Linked DNA regions of Drosophila melanogaster. The protein of the gene in region 1 interacts with the protein of each later gene in a pairwise test. Each region holds a gene or a part of one and is shown in the gene's direction. Other genes may lie near its edges. The genes, in order: eEF1beta and slgA.

Region 1 (9,367 bases):
GTCCGTCCTGGATGATGATCATTTTGGCTCCGGTCTTCTCCTGCAGCTGTTTAATGGTATCGCCGCCCTTGCCAATGACCAAGCCCACCTTGGCGCCCGGAATCATGATCTCCTGGTAAGGTGGATACCCGCTAGGTCCCGGTGGCGGCATATTGATCGTCAACAGCACCTCCACCTGTCCCCCGCCAGCCCGATTGGCCATGTTCTGAATCATTTCGCGCCCCTTAGTGACTGTATCCCTTTGACCACGCAACATGATAACGCGATCTTGATCCTGCATGACCTGCACTTTTACACCGGACTCGGCCTGGATGTGGGTGATGGTGTCGTTACTGGAGCGACCCATAAAGGCGCCGGCTACCGATTCGGGCAGACGGATCTGCTCCTCACAGCTTGTTCCCGCCGAGGCGGCCAAACGAGCGGCTACCGCAGCAGCCTGGGCGATTGCCTGAGTAATACTGGCACCGCCGGGACCTCCGCCGCCGCCACCACCACCCCCGCTACCGCTGCTCATGTTGGAGCTGTTGTTGGCGTACTCCGGACTGCCCAAGGAGCGTTTGGATTCCGGACCGCTGTCGCCGTCGTCGTTGATACGCTTAAAGCCAGGCCCTCCACCCGAAGACGGTGGCGATGGACCCGCTGTGCCGCCGCCCTGCTGGCTGGGCTGGATCTTGGCTGCGATCTGGTTTGGGGATTGGGGCAAAAGAAGCCGAATCAATGCCCACTTCCGCTTCTTCCTCTTCCAAGTGGTGGGAACTCACCTGCTTGGCACGCTGAATTGCCTGCGCGAGTGCCTGCGATTGATTGATGCCTTGTTGCTGGAAGTCGCTCATAGTTCTGGGTTTATAATAGGTTCAATTCGGTTCTTTATGGTTACCACTTGTTTTTTTTTTGTTCTGTTTGACCGCACGCGTTGAAAATTCAATAGCCGAAAGCGACGATTTTTTCACAAATGCTGAGGAAATACTATAAACGCTTCCTATGGCATTTGTTTAAGTGGCTTTCGAATGTCTACTCTGCCTTATTGTTGAGCCGTTTTTTTCATGCGCTTCTACGTTTTTTTTTTTAATTTTTCTTTCGGCTTTTCAGTGAAAATTATGCGTTTGCAAAAAAATTGTGTAGCATTATAGCTTGATTGGAGGCGTTTTTTCACCCTCATGATTTTCACTGCAACGGTAACACTGCGCATAAGATATTCACGGTTTTAGTCCGCGCTTTTGGTATATTTGTGTTAAATTAAATATTCAATGACTTATATGAATTTATTTGAAAGTAAAGGATCTACTTAAACTTAATTTCTATTAAGCCCAAGCTCCCAATTTGTGTGAATTTGCCCAAGGAAATGCATATTGTTTTCACAAGTTACAAAGTAGAAGCATACAATTTCTATACAATTTTTTTCCTTTTCAGAATATTAAATGTAATTGTTTGGCCTTAAATTTACGTAGCCAATAGCTAGCTTAAGTATAAGGTATTAATTATAATCCTTATGTTTTATTAAAAAAAATACAAGTAAGCGTTAAAAATCTATTTGAATGTATGGTATATTTGAACGATATTTACTCAAACTCCGGGTCACCCTGTGTTGCAACTACTTGAAATACTAGGAAAAAGTCAGTATTTTCATTATATGTTTAAAGACCGTTTCCCGCGAAGGTCACTCTGTTCTTCTTTCGTCGGCAACGTTGCGCAGAGCACGGCTCCAGATTTGTTAAACGCGAATTTACCCCACAAAAACGCATTTAAAATGGCATTCGGTGATGTGACCACCCCGCAGGGACTGAAGGAGTTGAACGCCTTCCTGGCCGACAACAGCTACATCAGCGGGTAAGCACGCGTCATTAAATGTGAGGTTATGTACGACCTCACCACGTCGGCAGATGTATTGATCGAATAATTTTCTACCCATTACTATACTCCCATTAGATATACTCCCAGCAAGGCCGATCTGTCCGTGTTCGATGCTCTGGGCAAGGCCCCCTCTGCCGACAATGTGAACGTGGCCCGCTGGTACCGCCACATCGCCTCCTTTGAGGCCGCTGAGCGTGCCGCTTGGTCGGGTACTCCTCTGCCCCAGTTGGCCGGTGGAAAGCCCACAGTGGCTGCTGCTGCCAAGCCCGCCGCCGACGATGACGACGATGTGGATCTATTCGGATCCGACGACGAGGAGGACGAGGAGGCCGAGCGCATCAAGCAGGAGCGAGTTGCCGCTTACGCCGCCAAGAAGTCTAAGAAACCCGCCCTCATTGCCAAGTCGTCGGTGCTCCTCGATGTCAAGCCCTGGGATGACGAGACCGACATGAAGGAGATGGAGAACAATGTCCGCACCATCGAAATGGACGGTCTGCTGTGGGGCGCCTCCAAACTGGTCCCAGTCGGCTATGGCATCAACAAGTTGCAGATCATGTGCGTCATCGAGGACGACAAGGTGTCCATCGATTTGCTGCAGGAGAAGATCGAGGAGTTCGAGGACTTTGTTCAGTCTGTCGACATTGCTGCCTTCAACAAGATCTAAACATCTGAGATTCTTATATTAACAATAAACTTGAGCAAAGCGAACTAAGCAAATATAGTTGTCTTCATATTTAAATAAAATATTTCACATGAAAGCTGCAATAAGCCAATCATAATTCAGATTGTAAAAACACATCAGTTTTATTGGAATAATGATTGAAATTTTGTAATTTTCACCAAAAAGTATACTTTTATAATCGGTAAAAATCTCTAATCTCTTTAGTTGGCTTGCTGGCTCTCTCAAGTTCTCAGCTTAAGTCTTCCGTTTTGAAGCTTTCGGCGAGCTTTTGTCAACAAAAAAGCGAAGCTCGTAGCACTTTCAGCTCAGTTGATCGGGCAGCTCGATAGAGGTCGGTTGTTTACAGATAGTTGTGATACTGTTCAGTGACTTTTCAAATTGCATTTGCAAACAAATATTTTTCGGACACAAGTACTGCTTATAATGGCTGCCAACAAATTGTGCTGCACTTTGGCTATTGGCGCTCTTTTGTGTCTGGGATTCGCAGCCCTCATTCAAGCTCAGGGTGAGTTAAATACATCGAAAACTATATATTTACATTATATAGGCGAGAACATTTCCGTTCTTGTTATTGTTCGCGAGACGTATTTGTTACGCATTTGCTGAGATTTGCTTTTAACACGAAATATACAAATACCTGATCGTCTGCATTCATTAACATTAATTAGCAATTGTATAGATATTTGAGTCTTTTGTTCTGCGCCAAGACATGTTTCGTTCTTGAGCGGATTTCCCAGATATATTTATCCATCCATCGTGTTTGTCGCCATTTGCATACGACAAGTATCTGGAGGTTGACAAACGTCCATTTAAACTCGGGGATTTCTGATCGGTTTCAGATTCCATAATCGACCATCCATCATCTAAAACACGGGCCGTTGACATCGTTAGTTTTCAATAACGCATCATTGCCATTGAAATTACTTCCGATTAGTATACATCTATTACATTGGCGGAAATTAATTGGTATTAAGTTTGAAAATCATCTATTAATCGTTGGCAGTAATTTGAAGTGAACTCTTTGCTTCTCTGTTTAATAAATTAATTGTCTAAATGGGTAATTAGCAGAAATCAATCAGTCGTTATTTTTGCATTATTCGCGAAAAGGATGTAGTTTTACTGGAGATTTCCCCGAATCCGGAACAGTATTTTGCGGTGCACATCGGTACTCCATTGTTAGACCTCAAAAAATCCCACTTTCGTGACAATTTGCTGCGTGTGGGTTATCTCTGGGTCAGGAAAACCCCGTGAAAAGGTGTTTATATAAACTAAAATATGCACTGATATGATATGTTTTAGAAAGGTGGAAATATATAAAAGGTCTTTAATCTTGACCCAATTTTTATGCCTTTGAAGATTACTTTGCATAGGTCACTGAACTCAGAAACCTCAGAGTTTTGCTCGTGTGTGTGGGTGAGCCAGAAGGCTAGATGACATGCTGTGCTTCACGCTTCTTTCGATCTTTTCGCAAAATTGGCAAAATGCCGATACTCGTTAAAAATACAAAATTTAATTACAAGAACAAGGTCTTGATAACGCCGATTAATTGACTCATCCTCGCCTACGCGCTGCCAGATTTTGTTCTACGGAGATGCTTCAATGTTTCCATTGAAAGTTGCAAAACTAGTTCGATACAAAATGGGATGGGAACGTGAGGCCGATGGATTTCAGGTTCATGGGCGTGCAAGCAACGGAATTGCTTTTCGTTTCTTGGATATATTTTATAATTTTATTGAATTTTTGAAATTTATGAACCCGCTCGCACCGGGGAAACACAGATAACACACTAGGATTAGTTTTATTGTAGTACCTGTTGTTATTTTACACGGAAATCTCTTCGGTTGGAATTTATAATAATGAACGTAAGAAATTTTAAAAGAATTTTTAACAAGTTCAAGATAAGACACCTAAACCAAATTGGTCAACTGGATTTTTTGTTTAATTAGTTTCCTACTACTTTTTTCTGTGAGCTGCTAAAATTTCAAAGTCTTCAACTTGTTATAACTCTTAAAAATTCAAAACATTACCAAATGCTCTGAATAAAGCGATGACATGATCTGGGCAAATCTGCACTGCTAACGCTCTTTTGAGGCTAATCTGGAAAATAAAATAAAAATAAAAATGAACTGAACTGATTTGATTTGATTTGAATGATCTTTAAACCCGAAACAGATAAGCCGGTGACTGATGTGTGCCTGGGATGCATCTGCGAGGCCATCAGTGGATGCAACCAGACACGTTACTGCGGCGGCGGAGTCTGCGGCCTGTTTCGCATCACCTGGGCATATTGGGCCGACGGCGGCAAGCTGACCTTGGGCAACGAGAGTCCCCAGTCGGAGGATGGTGAGTGTCCCATCCATTACCTATGCAATAAACCTTATCATACATCTGATGCACATTAATCTCGCTGCAGCGTATGCCAATTGCGTGAACGATCCCTACTGCGCGGCCAACACGATCCAGAATTACATGACCAAGTTCGGCCAGGACTGCAATGGAGACAACGCCATCGATTGCTACGACTTTGCTGCCATCCACAAGCTGGGCGGCTATGGATGCAAGGGCGAGCTGAGCTACCAGTACCAGACGCAGCTGACCAACTGCCTTAATTCGTTCCAGCAGATCGACGTGCGCTCTAGCATATAAACACATTAACTTGCTAAATTTATATTGTAATTAAATTTAAATAATGTAATAATTAATTATTTATGGCAATGCATTTGAATTCGATTCAGAATAAATGACAATACAAGCAAATATTTTTAACTTTTCAGTGCTTCACACTTGTTTCATAAATTTAGTAAATTATTTCGAATGGACAAAAAAAATAATTATTGTAATGAATTTTACTTATTTGTTAGGGTTATTCGTGTAAAAAACATTTTACATTCCTTGCTTACATACATATTCTCTACATCTTGGCTTGAAATACAGTAAAATTAAACTAGTCTTTAACACACGCTTTAAAATATTTAGGAGTCGCAGTGTAGCATACTTTTTGTTGTAAGTTTCAACTGGGAGTCAGTGAGTGGGGGTATGTAGTAGAACTATTCTTAACACTTTGTGTGGATGCGCCCTATAAACCGGTATTACCCGCTAGATTGGCGCATTTACCGGGTACTGAGTACTCAGTTCATGGGAATCGCTAGAACCATTCGCAGTTTCAGGGGCAGAGGAATTGGATGTTATTACTTTAACCAGCCGGAAAATGCGAGTTTTCCTGCTATATTCCATATATTTGCTGCTGGTGCTGTCGCCTTCATTGGTTCAAGGCCAAGGTACGTTTTTTCCGCCAAAAATATATGTGCTATATGTACAATAAATTGCGTAAACAGGTCATGTGCTGGATAAGCCGGTAACGGAGCTGTGTCTCACCTGCATTTGTGAGGCCATTAGTGGTTGCAATGCCACGGCGATTTGCACCAGTGCGGAAAAGGGAGCATGCGGCATATTCCGCATCACCTGGGGATACTGGGTGGATGCTGGCAAACTGACGGTAAATGGAGAGCATCCCGATTCGGAAAAGGCTTTCATCAACTGCGCCAAGGATCCGCACTGTGCCGCCGATTTGGTGCAAAACTATATGAAGAAGTTCAATCAGGATTGCAATGATGATGGTGAGATGGATTGCCACGATTATGCTCGAATCCATAAACTGGGGGCTTATGGCTGCCAAGCGGACATGCCCTACAATTTCCAGAGTGTGTTCGAGGAGTGCATCGAGAGGTACGAGGATGAGGGATTTGAGTAAATAAAAAATAAACATTATATATATATGTTAATAAACTTAATATTTTTATTTACCCGGGAATCACCGCTGATTGGAAACCAGATCGGTGCATTTCCTATAACTGAAATTAGTCACCTTCGATGGCGCTCATTTTCGATAATAAAAACCAGTAGTCACTGCTGAAATCGTTTCAGTGGCTGAACAATCGCGAAAGGCATCGAATCGGAAGTGAATACACATCTCGAGCTATGCATAGTGCACATATATTATTTTTCGTACTCGGGCTCACATTCGTTGGCATTTGGGTTCAAGCCGAGGTCCAAAAACCCATCACGGAACAATGCCTGATCTGTATGTGTGAGGCTTTGAGTGGCTGCAACGCGACGGCTGTGTGCGTGAATGGGGCATGTGGCATTTTCAGGATCACTTGGGATCAGTGGGTGGACTCAGGCAGATTGACCATACCTGGCGACTCGCCATTGACGGATAGTTGTAAGAACTGCGTTTATCTGTCAATTTAGTGCATTTACTTACTTACCTTTGAATTTACAATATACTCAGCTTTTACCAACTGCGCCAATGATCCGTATTGTGCGGCCGATACTTTGCAGAGTTATATGGTGAAGTACGGACAGGATTGCAACGATGATCAGAAGGAGGACTGTTACGATTATGGTGCCATTCACTATATGGGTCCCTTCAACTGCAAGGCGGATATGCCCTACACCTACGAGAGCATTTTCAAACGATGTTTGAGGAACGCGATGCGGAATGACAAGCGTCAGAATTCCAGCTAGGCCTAATGCAACTTTTTCTAGTATTTAGCAACTAACTTATGAGGAAGAGTCCGTTTAATTTATGTGCAAATAACTCATAGCTAATATAGGCGTTAATTTCGATTAATAAACTAGTGGCTTGGAGTCAACTGAGATCAGTTGTTTGGTCAACACGGCACTTGCAGGTCGGGTTCTCGATTCTCGATCGGATTCAAAGCTCAGTTATGCTACGATTGCTAGTTTGTTTGTGGCTACTGGTGTACAGTGGTTCCAGCTATGAGGGTAAGTGCTACCCAGCTACACAAGCCATCAATTCCGTAGCGATAGTACCTTATAACCACTGTGTTACGTAGTTGACGTGGTGCTCTATAATTATGGTAATCCATCTGGGTTCGCTGTAAAATAAAGCCAGTTTATAGGAATAGCTTTATACTATAAAGCCGGCTGTAACATCCGCCCATTTCCACTTTTCTCGTACACTGAATATAATTTATTCATTAGCTCCATAATATAATGCTTTTTTGATATTTAAAAAGTCTTCTTAAGAAAAATCACATTTATACAAAAATTATCTTCTTTCTTTTTTTTTTTGATGAAATAAGTATGTATTGATTAGTATTTCTTTCTGTGTATTTAGTGCAAAACAAACCCGTCACGGAAGATTGCCTAGACTGTCTATGCGAAACAATGAGTGGCTGCAATGCATCCGCAATTTGCGTAAATGGGGCCTGCGGTATATTCCGAATCACTTGGGGCTACTGGGTGGAGGCGGGCAAACTAACTTTGCCCACAGATACAGCTCTCTCCGAAGACGGTATGTTCAGGATATCCAAGTAATAGATCCATTTCAATTCCCCAGTCCTTTTCTCAGCTTTTACGAACTGCGTTAATCAGCCCCACTGTGCAGCGAACACGGTGCAGAATTATATGTTCAAACATGGCCAGGATTGCAATGGAGACGAGCACATCGATTGCCTGGATTTCGGAGCACTCCACAAACTGGGCAATCTGAAGTGCCAGGAAGAGTTGCCCTACATCTTTGCCAAAGTCTTCAATCGATGTCTGAAATCCAAGGAGCGGATGGCAGAGGAAAAGATCATCAAGGAGCAGGAAACGGTTTCAACATAATTGATTCTTTATTGGGTTTCATCGTTTCCCACTTTTCGGGGATATATTTGTCTGTTTTTAAAACAATCCTGGTAACACATATACACGTACATACATCGAAACATTGCTTATGTTTGCATTTGAACAGTTTCCAATATAGGTATGGATTCTATAGATTTAGTTACAGATACAGATATATATATATAATATATATAGAGGGGTATATGAAAACTACTTTAATATGCTCTCGCTTTTTGTAAACATGTTAACATACTGGTAGTACATAGTTATTAATTTATTCAGATTCTGGCTTACGTTTGCTAAAGCTTGGCTCTAACATTGGTTTGCCATTCAGTGGTCATGGTTCTATATCTCGAGATGAGGTTCTCTCTATTAAGGGGTATTCTGTTTGGTAGTCTAGTATATGGAAACTTGAAAGTAAAAAGGACTGTTACGGATATTTTCATCAGAATCTGTTCAAATTGAAATTGTTTCAACAACCTTTTTAATTGGTAATGATTCATGTTGAGACTGAGACTGAGGCAATGTCGAACGAAAGGCAGCAATATCATCCTATTCTTATCATATCTCTAGACGGTGAAGAGTTATGAAAGTGGGCAGTGAACGTAATGAAAACTAAGTGGAAGTTTCTGCTTACGACTATAAACGAAATGAAAGCAAAATATTAGTGAAAAAATCAGTGCTTGCCAAAGGTTTATCATTTAAATACAAATGTTTGGCATAGTTTTTCTTTTGAATTAAAAGCATTAAATGCCAAAAACGCCCACAAAAGAAGTAAATATGCAGACACAAGTACAATGAAGGTGATTTAAATTTCACGATTCTACAGTGAATTCTTTTTTTTAAGAAACTATTTTTAAATATTTGGCTTCTCTATTTTCTATTTCGAGTAAAAAATCATGGAAATGATTGAGGCCTAACTGACAAATTACGTTCATAAAATTACAATCAAGCTCGATTCATATGGGTAGGGGGTGTTGAGGTGTGTGAGTTGGAGGTCTGATTCCATCCGATCCTATCTGGCTTGATATAGTACGGTTACACGGGTACTTGGTGATGATCTTACATGGCTAGAATTGCAACTGGAAATATGCGTTTTTGCTGGCTAATTGGGTGCCCTTCCCTCACTTCTTGCTGTTCCCATCGTTGGCCAACAGCAGCTCCTTGGCCTCCTTCTTGCCCCGCTTCTTCTCCTCCTTG
Region 2 (10,975 bases), on another chromosome or scaffold:
AAACAAGTATTTATCGATAATTAAAACTGTTATTAAATTTTGCAGGCAGTATTGATAGTATGTATCTTATGCACAAAAAGCACTGATAATGTTCGTTGTTAATAAAGAAAGCGGGTGAATTTTTGTGTATTTCAATACAACCTTTTTTTGTCAACGAAACTCAAGCTTTTCAACTTTTTCAATTGGACAAGGTGCAGGAAGCGTATGCATTTATAAGGTTCTTAATCATAATAGGCTCATCAAATTGACCATAATAAAATTTTTCCCGTTGTTAACCTTCACAAGTAGTGTTGAAAAGTATTGAAAGTCAATAAGTAGCCGTAACTCTTTTTGAGTGCATTCCCTTAGCTGTTTCTTTGTTTATTTATTTTGCAATTATTTTTATGCTTTTGTTTGATAGACTGTGATATTTTTGCCTTACTTGTATGTATGGATTGACGTGAATTTCATAATAATGAAAAAAAATATAGCTTTATTTGTGTGCGATTTATTTTTGTTTAACGAAGTTTTGCTTGAGAAAAAAAGAGAAAGAGCTATCCGAACAGGCGCCACAGCACGCACAAACACACACGCACAGCTGATCTGTCTTGCTCTCGCACTGGAAATTTGTAAACAACTCAATATCGCAAAAACCAGAGCTGCCAATTAGTTTTTTTTTATTTTCCAGACACACTGGCAGCGCCATTTTCTTGCATTTGTGAAATTTACCCACTAAAAAACAGTGACATTTTTCCATACTTGCAGCGTAATATGTTTGAGGATCGGGACTAGACAAGTAGGTGGAAAACGAAAGCTAAGAACATGATCAACGGCCTGAGCGTTGGCGGTGGTCAGCAGGTGGCGCAGGTGACGCCAACAGGTGCTGCAATTAAATTGCACTTTGCCTACAACAACAACAGCAACAACAGTAGCAGCAGCAACATCAGCAACAGCAACTACAGTGGCCTTAAAACATCGGAGACGAAAATGAGGAACAACAAGAACTACACAGGCAGAGCGCTGAAAATAGTTGAGAAGATACCGGGAGCAAGTGGAGTAATCGCCACAACGAGCGGCAACCAAGGAGCAAGAAGCCTTGAGGGATATTCTCCGGCAGCGGCATCTTACGTTTCGGGCTTGTCCAGGGACTTTTTGATATCCAGAGAACTTTCCCAAAGATCAGGAGAATTCCTGACAGCTGCTGCAAAGATGGTATCCCAAATGGGAGCAAGCGAACTCCGCTGGCTCCCCATATCCAGGACCAAAGACAAACCATCGAGCGCAGGAGAAGCAGAAGCTAAAACATTAGTCAGAGAAGGTGAATCACAAGGATCGCCTGGTAAAGTTGCCAAAAGTGCCTTAGGTGACCCCCAGCCGCAGCGCACCGAAGACCAAGAAAATGCCTTTCGGCGCATCGAGGATGTGCACAACTATGCCAAGTTGCAGGACTGCAGCAGCGACACTGACGACGAGGACGACGAAGAGGAAGATCTCGATGAAGAGGAGGATGATGAGGAGGAGGCGGAGATCCAAGTGCAGTTGCCTGTGCAGCAGGAGGTCACGCGCATTCGTCGCGAGGCCGCCGAAGAGCATGTGGACGTGGACGTGGTCACAGTGCCGCAGCAGGAGCAGGATCAGTATAGCCATCAAGTAGAGCCGCGACAGCTTCAGCAGGATGAGACAGCGGATAACACACGGCCGGAGCATCATGCCCGCCGACCCATGAATGCCTTCCTCATATTCTGCAAGAGACATCGCGGTATCGTCAAGGAGCGTTACAAAACTTTGGAGAACCGGTGGGTTTTTTTCCAGCTGCACCCATTTAGGTTCCGGAAAGATTACTCACTCGTTGTTTACCTCTTTTAGTGCCATTACAAAGATACTTGGCGACTGGTGGGCCGCTCTCGACGAGCAGGAGAAACACTGCTTCACGGATCTGGCACAGCAGGTGGGGATCATACAATATTTACCCGTGCACATACTTCACTTCTGCTGAACATGCCTGCTGGGCTTTGAGTTCTATAAGTTTAGCAAGCTAATTAATTTTCTTTTGTAGAACAAGGACGCCTTCTTCAATGCTAATCCAAACTTCAAGTGGTACAAACTGCCAGCTCCGCCGCTGCGAACGCTAGCTACCCGTCCCAGCAACGCGTCTGCTGGCTTGCTCATACCCAGTGAAGATCAGCCACAGCAGCAGGTGCCGACTTCACTGCAAGTGCAGTGGGCAGAGCGAGGGGAGATGCCGCGTGCTATGCTGCGCCCCAACTACTTTAAACTGGCAGACGAAACGCAGATGGGCGAGCTAAGCTCCCTACTGCAAGTTCAAGTACAAGAAAAGGACTTCGCCCTACAGCAGGTGCTCAGCGAGACCAGCCAGTTTCTATCTGCCCATATGCCAGCTGGCAATACAAATGGGAATGGCAATAAGCGCTCCTTGCAGGACAACAACTCGAGCAACTCCAGCGAGGAGGAGGCGGCCAGTGGTAGCTCGCCAAACAAGAAGGTCAAGTCATCACGCTCCTGCAAGGGCAAGATTTACCAGGAATTGGTCAATTCCGGTCAATTGGCGGCCATAGCTAAGAAGAGCAAAGCTCGCTTGCCGCCGGCAGGTAACATGGGTGGAAACTTTGTGGACATCCCCTTGGATGCGGGACCCAATACACCGCCCGTTTCGCCACCGGAACGTCAGGGTAGCAGTCCGGATTCCATGCAAAAACATATAAGAAGCGTTTCCGAGTCAAGCAGCAGTGGTTTCTTTGATCTCGAGGAGAAAATCAAAGAGCTGCCAGCCCTCAGCTTGGACGCTTACCTGCAGCGCAAACGTAGCACCAAAAAGAAGAAGAAGTTTAGCGGCACCAAGAAACAGAGGAATTCGAACAGCACAAGTGGTGCATCAGCAACTTCGAATGTGGCAGCAGCAGATGCTGCGGCGAAAGGTGCTGTCCCATTATCTAGCGAGCAACACGTGAGGATCAAGCAGCAGCAACTGCAGGCTGTGGGAAGCCAGCGACGAAAGGCGCGCAAGGAAAGTATCACCCGGCGCGATGTTAGTGCCATTGAACAGGAGGTGGCCTCAATTCTGCCCCTGACCATCAATGGCAGCTACTACTTTAACCAGAGCGGTGCTCCCAAGGCGGTGAATGCCCCTGTAACCTCGTCGTCGGCCTCGCCACCGCTCTCTTCGAACTCCTCGTCGTCATCCTCCTCGCTCTCCTCGCAGGCGGCCTTCGACGTGACCTCCTCTACCTCAGATCTACTCATTCTGGCCGAAGTGGCCGCCAACCGCACTGAGCTGACCAAGTCCAACTAGCGCCTGCAACACCAATAACATCAGCAGCACCACTGGCTGTCCAGCATTACCACCAAATAGTTAGCCCAAATCAAAATAGCGAACTGCAAGATTGTCATACTTGGGGAAGACATATTCACATATGTATATCCTGTTGCAATAATTTGAAATTATGTTTAGATATTTAAACTATTCCCTGTTTACCTTATTATATAGTTTTTAGGAAAGCAAAAGAGCATGTCCTTAGCAGTTATTCATATCATCATTCATTACGTCAGAGCTGAGGAATAATACTTTATATTTTATTTACATACATATATAGATAGGTTTTACATGTTTTTCGGGCTATGTTGCACACATATCCAAAATATTCAGTTCATATCCGCACAACTGTGCATTAATATTCAATTGTTTTAACATTGTCGCATCAATCGAAAACCTTAAACTGAATTTGTCGCCCTTATGATAGTCTTGCGGTCAAGTTAAGCACCCATTTTCGATACTTACGATGCTTAAAGCTATTTGCTGGTGGTGCCCAATGGAGATGGAAAAACAGACATTCGTTGATCTACAATTTAGTCAATAATATTATGTAATAACAGAAAATCAAGCCAGCCGAAGAGAATGCGAGAAGAGAGTCGCGGCGATAGCGAATTATGTATTGTTTGTTATGACGGCGGTAGGAGGAGACCCGAGTCAGTTTCACACGCATATATCTATGTATATATTTGGTATTTAAATAACTTGTTCTGTTTTTTTCTTGTTAAGTTTCTCCTTTTTCGGGCCGCGTTCGCTAAGCAGCAAAATCAACAGCAGCGGTCGCTCATTAAATGTTAATTATTATTATTTCTAATATGTAGTCGTAACTTATTGCTATATTTGTCGAAACGCAAACAATTTGCAAACAAAAATATATTCATTTTAAAATGGAAACTTGGAATTTTCATTTTGAAGAGCCAATTTTGCAATATTTATCTATGAAACGCCAGTAAGTAATCAGTATACGGGAACAATTTGGTATCTATGTACGCATACATTGTGTATATTAAAAAATATGGAGTGCATATAGTTCTTGTAGTTTTTTTTTACGTTAACATGATTTCTTTGATGCCATAAATGTTTCTTAACTTTCTTACCTTTTTTCTATAAACAATTTTAAAGTAAAGTAAATTGAGACGTAAAAGGTTTTTTTTTGTTAGTGTCACAAGCCGAATCGCTTTGTTTTTAATTTTAATCAGTTTAAAAGATTTTATACGAAGTAATATGTTTGAAATTTGTAACCGAAAAAATCGCTTAAAACAAACCCAAAGGACATTTTTAGAGATCGCTGGTGTGTAGATTTGTGAGACGGCGATAACTATCGATATTTATATTATATTTATATTGCGAGCTGAAAGTAACAAATAGTTCGGATACTCAATTTTGTAACTAACAATAATTCAAACTTTTCTAAAATCCCTTCTTTCGGCACACAGCAAAAGGAAATATTTGGCTTGGGAGGGTCCGATTAGAAAGATTTAGAAAACTTATATTCATTTGGTGGCCTTATATTTGCGTAAATAGTGCAATTAAAATAAATCTGTTTGATACTTTCTTGAGTCCACGATAAGCGTTCTTTACACAGAGAAACATTTTGAATAATTTTCGTACCTGAAACTAAATTTCAAATTTTGCGAGCGTATATTTCGTATCGATATATTTCTCCAGTGATCTGGGTGTAAAGCAAGCCTGTTTGCGAGGCCAGTGTTGCAAGACGCCGGTTGTCAAGAAAGAGACAGGGAGAGAGATGAATAGAAGGAATGGTTCGTTTTTGTTGGACGCTGGTGTGGGAGTCCATTGATAAGATAAGAGCACCGAAGATTCCCGGCCAACCGCCAGGGGCCTAGATAAGCGTGCCGATTTTTATTGGGTAATAAGAGTTGACAAGATGGCGATTAATTTTCGATCGGGTTTCTTTTTTTCGCTCACGTGCAGCCCAAACAGCTGCTGGGGGTGGCCCATCCCCTTTCTGCCCCTCACCGACTGGTCCAACAATTTCTCTCAAGCTTTTTTGGACGAGCTTTCGCCGTGTTGGCCTTAATTTCGCTTCATGTGTTTCAGTTTATTCGCGAATTCAGACCCTTGCGCGTGCTCACGCTCTCTGTTGCAGCAGCAAAAACCAAAAACCCTCGAAAAGAACAACATTGACTCGAAAAAACCGAAAAATAATTATAATTGTACTTGTACTTGTGTGTCTTTTGTGAGGTGAGCAAATGCGCTGACAGAAACGGGAACTTTTCTACTTTTCTCGCAGGCTGCTGTGAGAAGTTTGTCAAACAAACACGAGTTTTTCCGAAAAACTATATTTGGCAATTCTACAAATTCTACAAAATTGTATTGTTTACCCTTATTATTGTTTTTGGGTCGTTGCTGGTTATGTATCGTAGTTTGTTTTTTTTGAAGTGACAAAACAACCGTTAAAGCAAAATTTATATCGAGCAAATAGAGGAAACCCACAAACCCAAGCGAAATTTTGCAGTGTACATGTGAGTGGCTGCGTTGTATTCGTATCATAAAAGGATCTCTACAAAGCGAGGTAGAGAGCAGTAAGCAGTGTTATATAATAGGTACAATTCGCCGCATAGCAACAAATAAGAAAAATGAAGAAAAAAAAACAAAAAAAAAAAAACCATTCAGATGAATTCGCAATTTAAGTACGGCAGCTCCCTGTTTCCCTTTAACCAAGGCGGCCAGAGCGAGACAGAACTTGATATAGCCCATAATGAAGTGTAATGAAATCTGTGCAATGAAACCCGCCAAGTTTTTTCGATTGATTGCAGCCTCCCGTCTGGCGATTATTTAGCGGGCTGCTAATTAATAAATAAAATGAAAAAGGGAAAAGGGGTTAATGGGTGGAAAACTGAGAACGAAAATTGGGGAGAATCAAGGAGAGCCGCAATTAACACCAATTAGTGTGTGCTTTCGGCGCATTTCAATTAAATCAAAACAAATTCCAAATCAAAATCAAAATCAGAAGCAAACGGGGCTGGCATGCCTGTGACGTCACACAGTCGTAGTTACAATTACGGTACAATCTCGGTTACATTTACAGTTACATAAACGGGAGCGAAGCGGCGAAAAGGATTTTCTCGCCCTCGGGTCCTTCCTCGTTTCGCTTCGTTGAATTTGCCGTCGCTTAACAACTCGCCCCATTTTCACGCGTCTTCGTCGCATTTGGTTTCGTGCTTTTGCGGCGTATACAACGCTCAAAGCGTAATAGAATAAATAATAAGAACGAAGTAAGAAGAAAACCCAAAAGACACATAATAGCGAAAGATAGATTTCTGCCCAGAAATTGACTTTTTTAATTGAACATTTCGAAGGTGTACTTGCGTACGTGTGATTGTGTTGTGCTGTTTTTTTCGGCTTCGCTCTCCCTCGCCGCCTCACGTTTTTCGCATTTGTTGTATAACATTCGGAGCGAGCGAAAGAGGGAGAGCGAAAAGCTCTCCGACAAAATCAGCTGTGATCATTGGCGTTGGCGTGGGGTTTGTGGGGGGGCAAAAAACACAATTAGGCAAAAAGTTGCAATAATAATATGTACACTGATTTTAATATTTTTATAAATTGAATTTTATTATACATTTGTTTATTATTTTTATATTAATTAGATATCATCCAATTACAATTAAATCAATTCTATATGATCTTATTGAAAATCAATGCATATTTTGAAACAGTCGTAATAATTTTGTTATATATGTACCACATTTCCACTTTTTAAAACGTTATTGTAATCGAGTTGAAAACGAGATAACCACCTTTAGTAATCTCTTCGTTACGCCACTGTCTTCCCTCAGATTCGTAGTGATTTGTAGAGATAATAGTGAAATTACCTCTGCTTTCCATTGTTTTCTTTTTGCAGCAACAACCGAGATTGGAGTGCGTTTCAATAACCGTCTCAAAAGCCGAAGAGCAGAAAGCGTAAATAAACCGCAGAATCCCTTGTAATGGCTCTACTCCGTTCGCTGAGCGCCCAACGAACAGCCATCAGTTTGGTCTACGGCCGTAATAGCAGCAAGTCGAGCAATTCCGTGGCCGTCGCCGCCTGCCGGAGTTTCCATCAGCGCGGCAGCGGGAGCACCAGCATCGCCGGAGAAGGAGCAGCATCGGAGTCCACGAGAGGAGTCAATGGAGCGCGCTTCCTGCACAGCGGCGACCGGCCGCTGCAGGCCTCCACTCTGGTCCAACCGGAGGTGGTCTCCAGCGAGACGGTGAAGCGATCGATGAAGCAGGAGTCGTCCCAGGAAAAGAACCCCTCGCCCGCTGGCTCGCCGCAGAGGGATCCCCTGGACGTGAGCTTTAATGATCCGATTGCTGCTTTCAAGAGCAAGACCACTGGAGAGCTAATACGCGCCTATCTCGTCTACATGATATGTTCCAGCGAGAAGCTGGTCGAGCACAACATGACGGTGAGTTAATCGGTGTCCCCCACTCCTCCTCTGCCGAGTCCTGCGACCTTTGACCCTTGAATTGGTCCAATCCATCGACTAGCTGAGATCTCTCTCTCTCTCTCTAGCTCTCTGTTTCTGGTTCTGTTTGCTGAGAAATCTGGGGCTCTGTTAGTACATAACCCCTGCTTAATGCTTTCTTAATATTACAATTAAGTAAGTATCGTTTTAGATAGTGACCGATTTCGAAACCATTTGTTTCAACTCTCGAAGTGTGTGCTGACTCTTCGCCTCTTCTGTCCTCTTCTGCTGCTTTCAACTTATTATAATTCATTCATTTATTTTATAAATACTTCCTTTAAAATGCTTTATTTAAATATATTCATGTACATGGATTCTTGGACACTTGAAGAGTAAACAAAAGTTATGAACAGCTAGGGCTATTGAATTCCATGTATGTATAATGTTAAAGTTGTCTGAAACTGAACGTAGAAGAATATTTAATTTTTTTGTTTGCTTCCTTTTTTCTATTCATGAATTTTTTTGTCTTATTCATGAATTTTTTCGATCCTGCCAAGCTTCCATTCGCTTGATTCCGATTTTCCGGGCAACCGAAGCCCGTGTCAGGTGGCTGGCTGCTTTCCTTCCGATTTTCCGCCCTGCTTCCGCTTTTCAATTCACCCGACCCGCAGCGAGTTTTCGTTTGCTCCCCTCGTGTTGATGAATTCCTGGCTAATTGCTTGTTGCATTTGTTGCCACTTTCTGGCAGGTGCTGCAGTCGCACAGAAGATTGAATGAGTGCCTGATTGACGGCAGGAAAAAGGGAAACTTTGGCATGCAAATTGCCGCTGCGATGGCGACCTTGCCCGGTCCGCTATTTGCTCTTAACTCGTGCGTATTTACTCAGCGAGACGTATGGATTGTGTGAACTGTGTAGGACTGCATAGTATATATAGGTCGTTATATAGTCAGGCCCCCGAATGAGCGCCAATCGGAATCGTTGGAAAACCCCTCGCATTTACCCCATTCTCGCTAGCGTGCTTCTATTTAATAGCGTCGGCGATCGTTTGATTGCTTATCGATTACTCAAAGTGCATGCGTCGCCAAGACTGTTACTTATTTATCATTTTTTCGCCCCGCTCGATGCAATTTGCATATATGGGTGGCTAAATGGACGTCACAGAGAATGTCCGCACAGCTCCCTGGGACCGTAGACATCACATCACATGTGGCATTAGTCAGACATCGACTTTGCCCACATCTCTGCACTAGAAAAAAATTGGTAAGCCATTCCTTTACCAGACTCGGCGCAATCTATTTGAAAACATCGTTTGCACAATCGATTTTGAGCGTTCTAGCATTCAATTAGTTATACTTTTGGTACTAAATATAGTGAGAACATTCTCAAGAACTGTTGCACACAGTTCAATAACACAATTGGGGTCTCATATTCGTTTGAATTTGTATCAGAGTGTACTTATTTTTTCGCCATTTCTATTTACAGTAGCGCGTCGATTGCTTTTGGGGACTGAGGAGCGGTGTGGGTCTCGTGATATGTGAGAATGGGTTGGGTATTGATGGGTAAAAAACATGGTTGAGGATGGGGTACTGTGGCAGGTGCCAGGTGCTAGGTGACCGGGGGTGGTGTTGGCTCTGCTGGGGCAGCTTTTTTTGTTTTTTTTGTTTTTTGGGGCCAGAGCTCAACGGCAAACACCTGTCCTCGGTTTCGAATTGTCTGCCAAAGAAAAGTTAAAAGACTAGCAAAGCAAAACATGCCATACCCAAAAAAAATATAATGCGAAACGAAAATTTGTTTTATGTAACCAGTTTTGGTGATGGTGTATTTATATTGTCGGCAGTGTGCTCTTTCGACAACTTTGTATTCAATTAATTACTTTAGTGTTCTCGACGAAACCGGTTTCCCCAGACGGAGAATGCTCTTTTCTTTCCCCACCTGTCCTTTCTCAGAATCTCATTCATCTGATGGATCCCGCATCAAGCAAAGCGCACACGTGCAAGGGAATCATTAATCAGAGGCCAATGCTCTTGTGTTTTCCACCTTGTAAGGAACATGGGTTGCCCGGAAACCGGAAACTTGGTGATTCCCAAGTTAGGCGATCTCTTCCTGTCCTTATTGCCGAGTTTTATTAAGTGCAGTTTAACATTTTCTCGTTTTCACAAAGCTGGATAGTGCATTGCGAGTTTATTTAAATAAATTAATATTTCCGAAGGGATAGTATTGTCTCTAGTCGCATAAATCTTGCATTAATAGGTTTGGATAAGAGTCTGTACAATCTCTTGCGTTATTTTTCGGCTTTTCAGGAAGTGTTTGTTTGTTTTTCTTACACTAAAATTTCAATATTCGCATCACTTATATATGTACATATGTTCAGCGGATATCTGTTTAAGTTGATGGTTCCGCGGCGGATCGTCTTTCCTTGAGCACTAGGCTCATTTTGGAAAGGTGATGTTTATATGCGTATTTAGCCTGACACTCGTTTAAATGACGTGCAGCCTCTGAAGAGTAATACACATTGCCGCCTCCGCACTTTTTGTCGCATTTTTCCACGCTGTTTTGTTGGACTTTGGCAAAGATTTTGGCCTTGACTCCGTTCACGTTTTTTATTTTACCACTTGGCCAAGTTCCAAATGATTTATGTGCGATTCAGGCGCTGAAAAATTGAAAGAACCTGGGCGGATGAGGGATCTCAGCTAGAATCGATGGATATTAGTTGTATATTGCAAAAACTCTTTGTCCTTGTTACATATATCAACTTTGTATTGCCTAAAACGGAAAATTAAAACTATATCGAATTCAATTTTTGACGCCGCAAACAACATGACAAAATATCGAAAAACACCAAAAAAACCTACTTACAAAAACTTACAAACTTACTATGTATGCCGCATAAAACCGATCAAAACAAACGAAAATTTCGCAGCTTATGAAATGGTCAAAGAACGTATTGGGTCAACGGTTATTTACATTATTGATGAAGGCGACCTTCTATGGCCACTTTGTCGCCGGCGAGGATCAGATCAAGATCATACCCACACTGGAAAGGTAATTGCCCACCACGACACTCCCACTCACTTATCGCCTTTTTCTTTTTCTTTTCTTTTCTTGTTTTTTTTTCCCGTTTCCATATCGCTTTCTGCCGCCCTATGGTTTTGTGTTTACTTCATGTTATTATTTTGGCCGCGAAACGGGCTGTGAAACGGTTATGCGAAACCCGCTTAAATGCCCACACTTGTATTGCAATGGAATCCCTGACAA

What was found.
Region 2: the proteins of eEF1beta (region 1) and slgA interact in a two-hybrid assay, tested with the Drosophila melanogaster proteins (one large-scale study listed by BioGRID).

The regions. Positions count from the first base shown.
Region 1 is NT_033778.4:16,866,565-16,875,931, forward strand, and holds eEF1beta (eukaryotic translation elongation factor 1 beta), read left to right. Parts: upstream 1-1,657; 5' UTR 1,658-1,747; coding exon 1,748-1,827; intron 1,828-1,926; coding exon 1,927-2,515; 3' UTR 2,516-2,716; downstream 2,717-9,367. Other genes in the region: Psi (P-element somatic inhibitor), read right to left, coding at 1-682, 762-833; CG6426 (uncharacterized protein), read left to right, coding at 2,957-3,038, 4,706-4,876, 4,947-5,179; CG6421 (uncharacterized protein), read left to right, coding at 5,742-5,811, 5,869-6,284; CG6429 (uncharacterized protein), read left to right, coding at 6,512-6,755, 6,825-7,060; CG6435 (uncharacterized protein), read left to right, coding at 7,264-7,321, 7,677-7,853, 7,911-8,167; CG8910 (uncharacterized protein), read right to left, coding at 9,292-9,367. UniProt on the Drosophila melanogaster protein: EF-1-beta and EF-1-delta stimulate the exchange of GDP bound to EF-1-alpha to GTP.
Region 2 is NC_004354.4:21,368,948-21,379,922, forward strand, and holds the start of slgA (sluggish A), read left to right. Parts: upstream 1-5,364; 5' UTR 5,365-5,793; exon of another isoform or gene 5,794-5,874; intron 5,875-6,474; exon of another isoform or gene 6,475-6,546; intron 6,547-7,162; exon of another isoform or gene 7,163-7,172; 5' UTR 7,173-7,257; coding exon 7,258-7,719; intron 7,720-10,640; coding exon of another isoform or gene 10,641-10,762; intron 10,763-10,975. Other genes in the region: bbx (bobby sox), read left to right, coding at 802-1,775, 1,846-1,927, 2,036-3,289. UniProt on the Drosophila melanogaster protein: Converts proline to delta-1-pyrroline-5-carboxylate. Involved in the conversion of proline to glutamate, which functions as a transmitter at neuromuscular junctions. Glutamate deficiency could possibly account for reduced motor activity.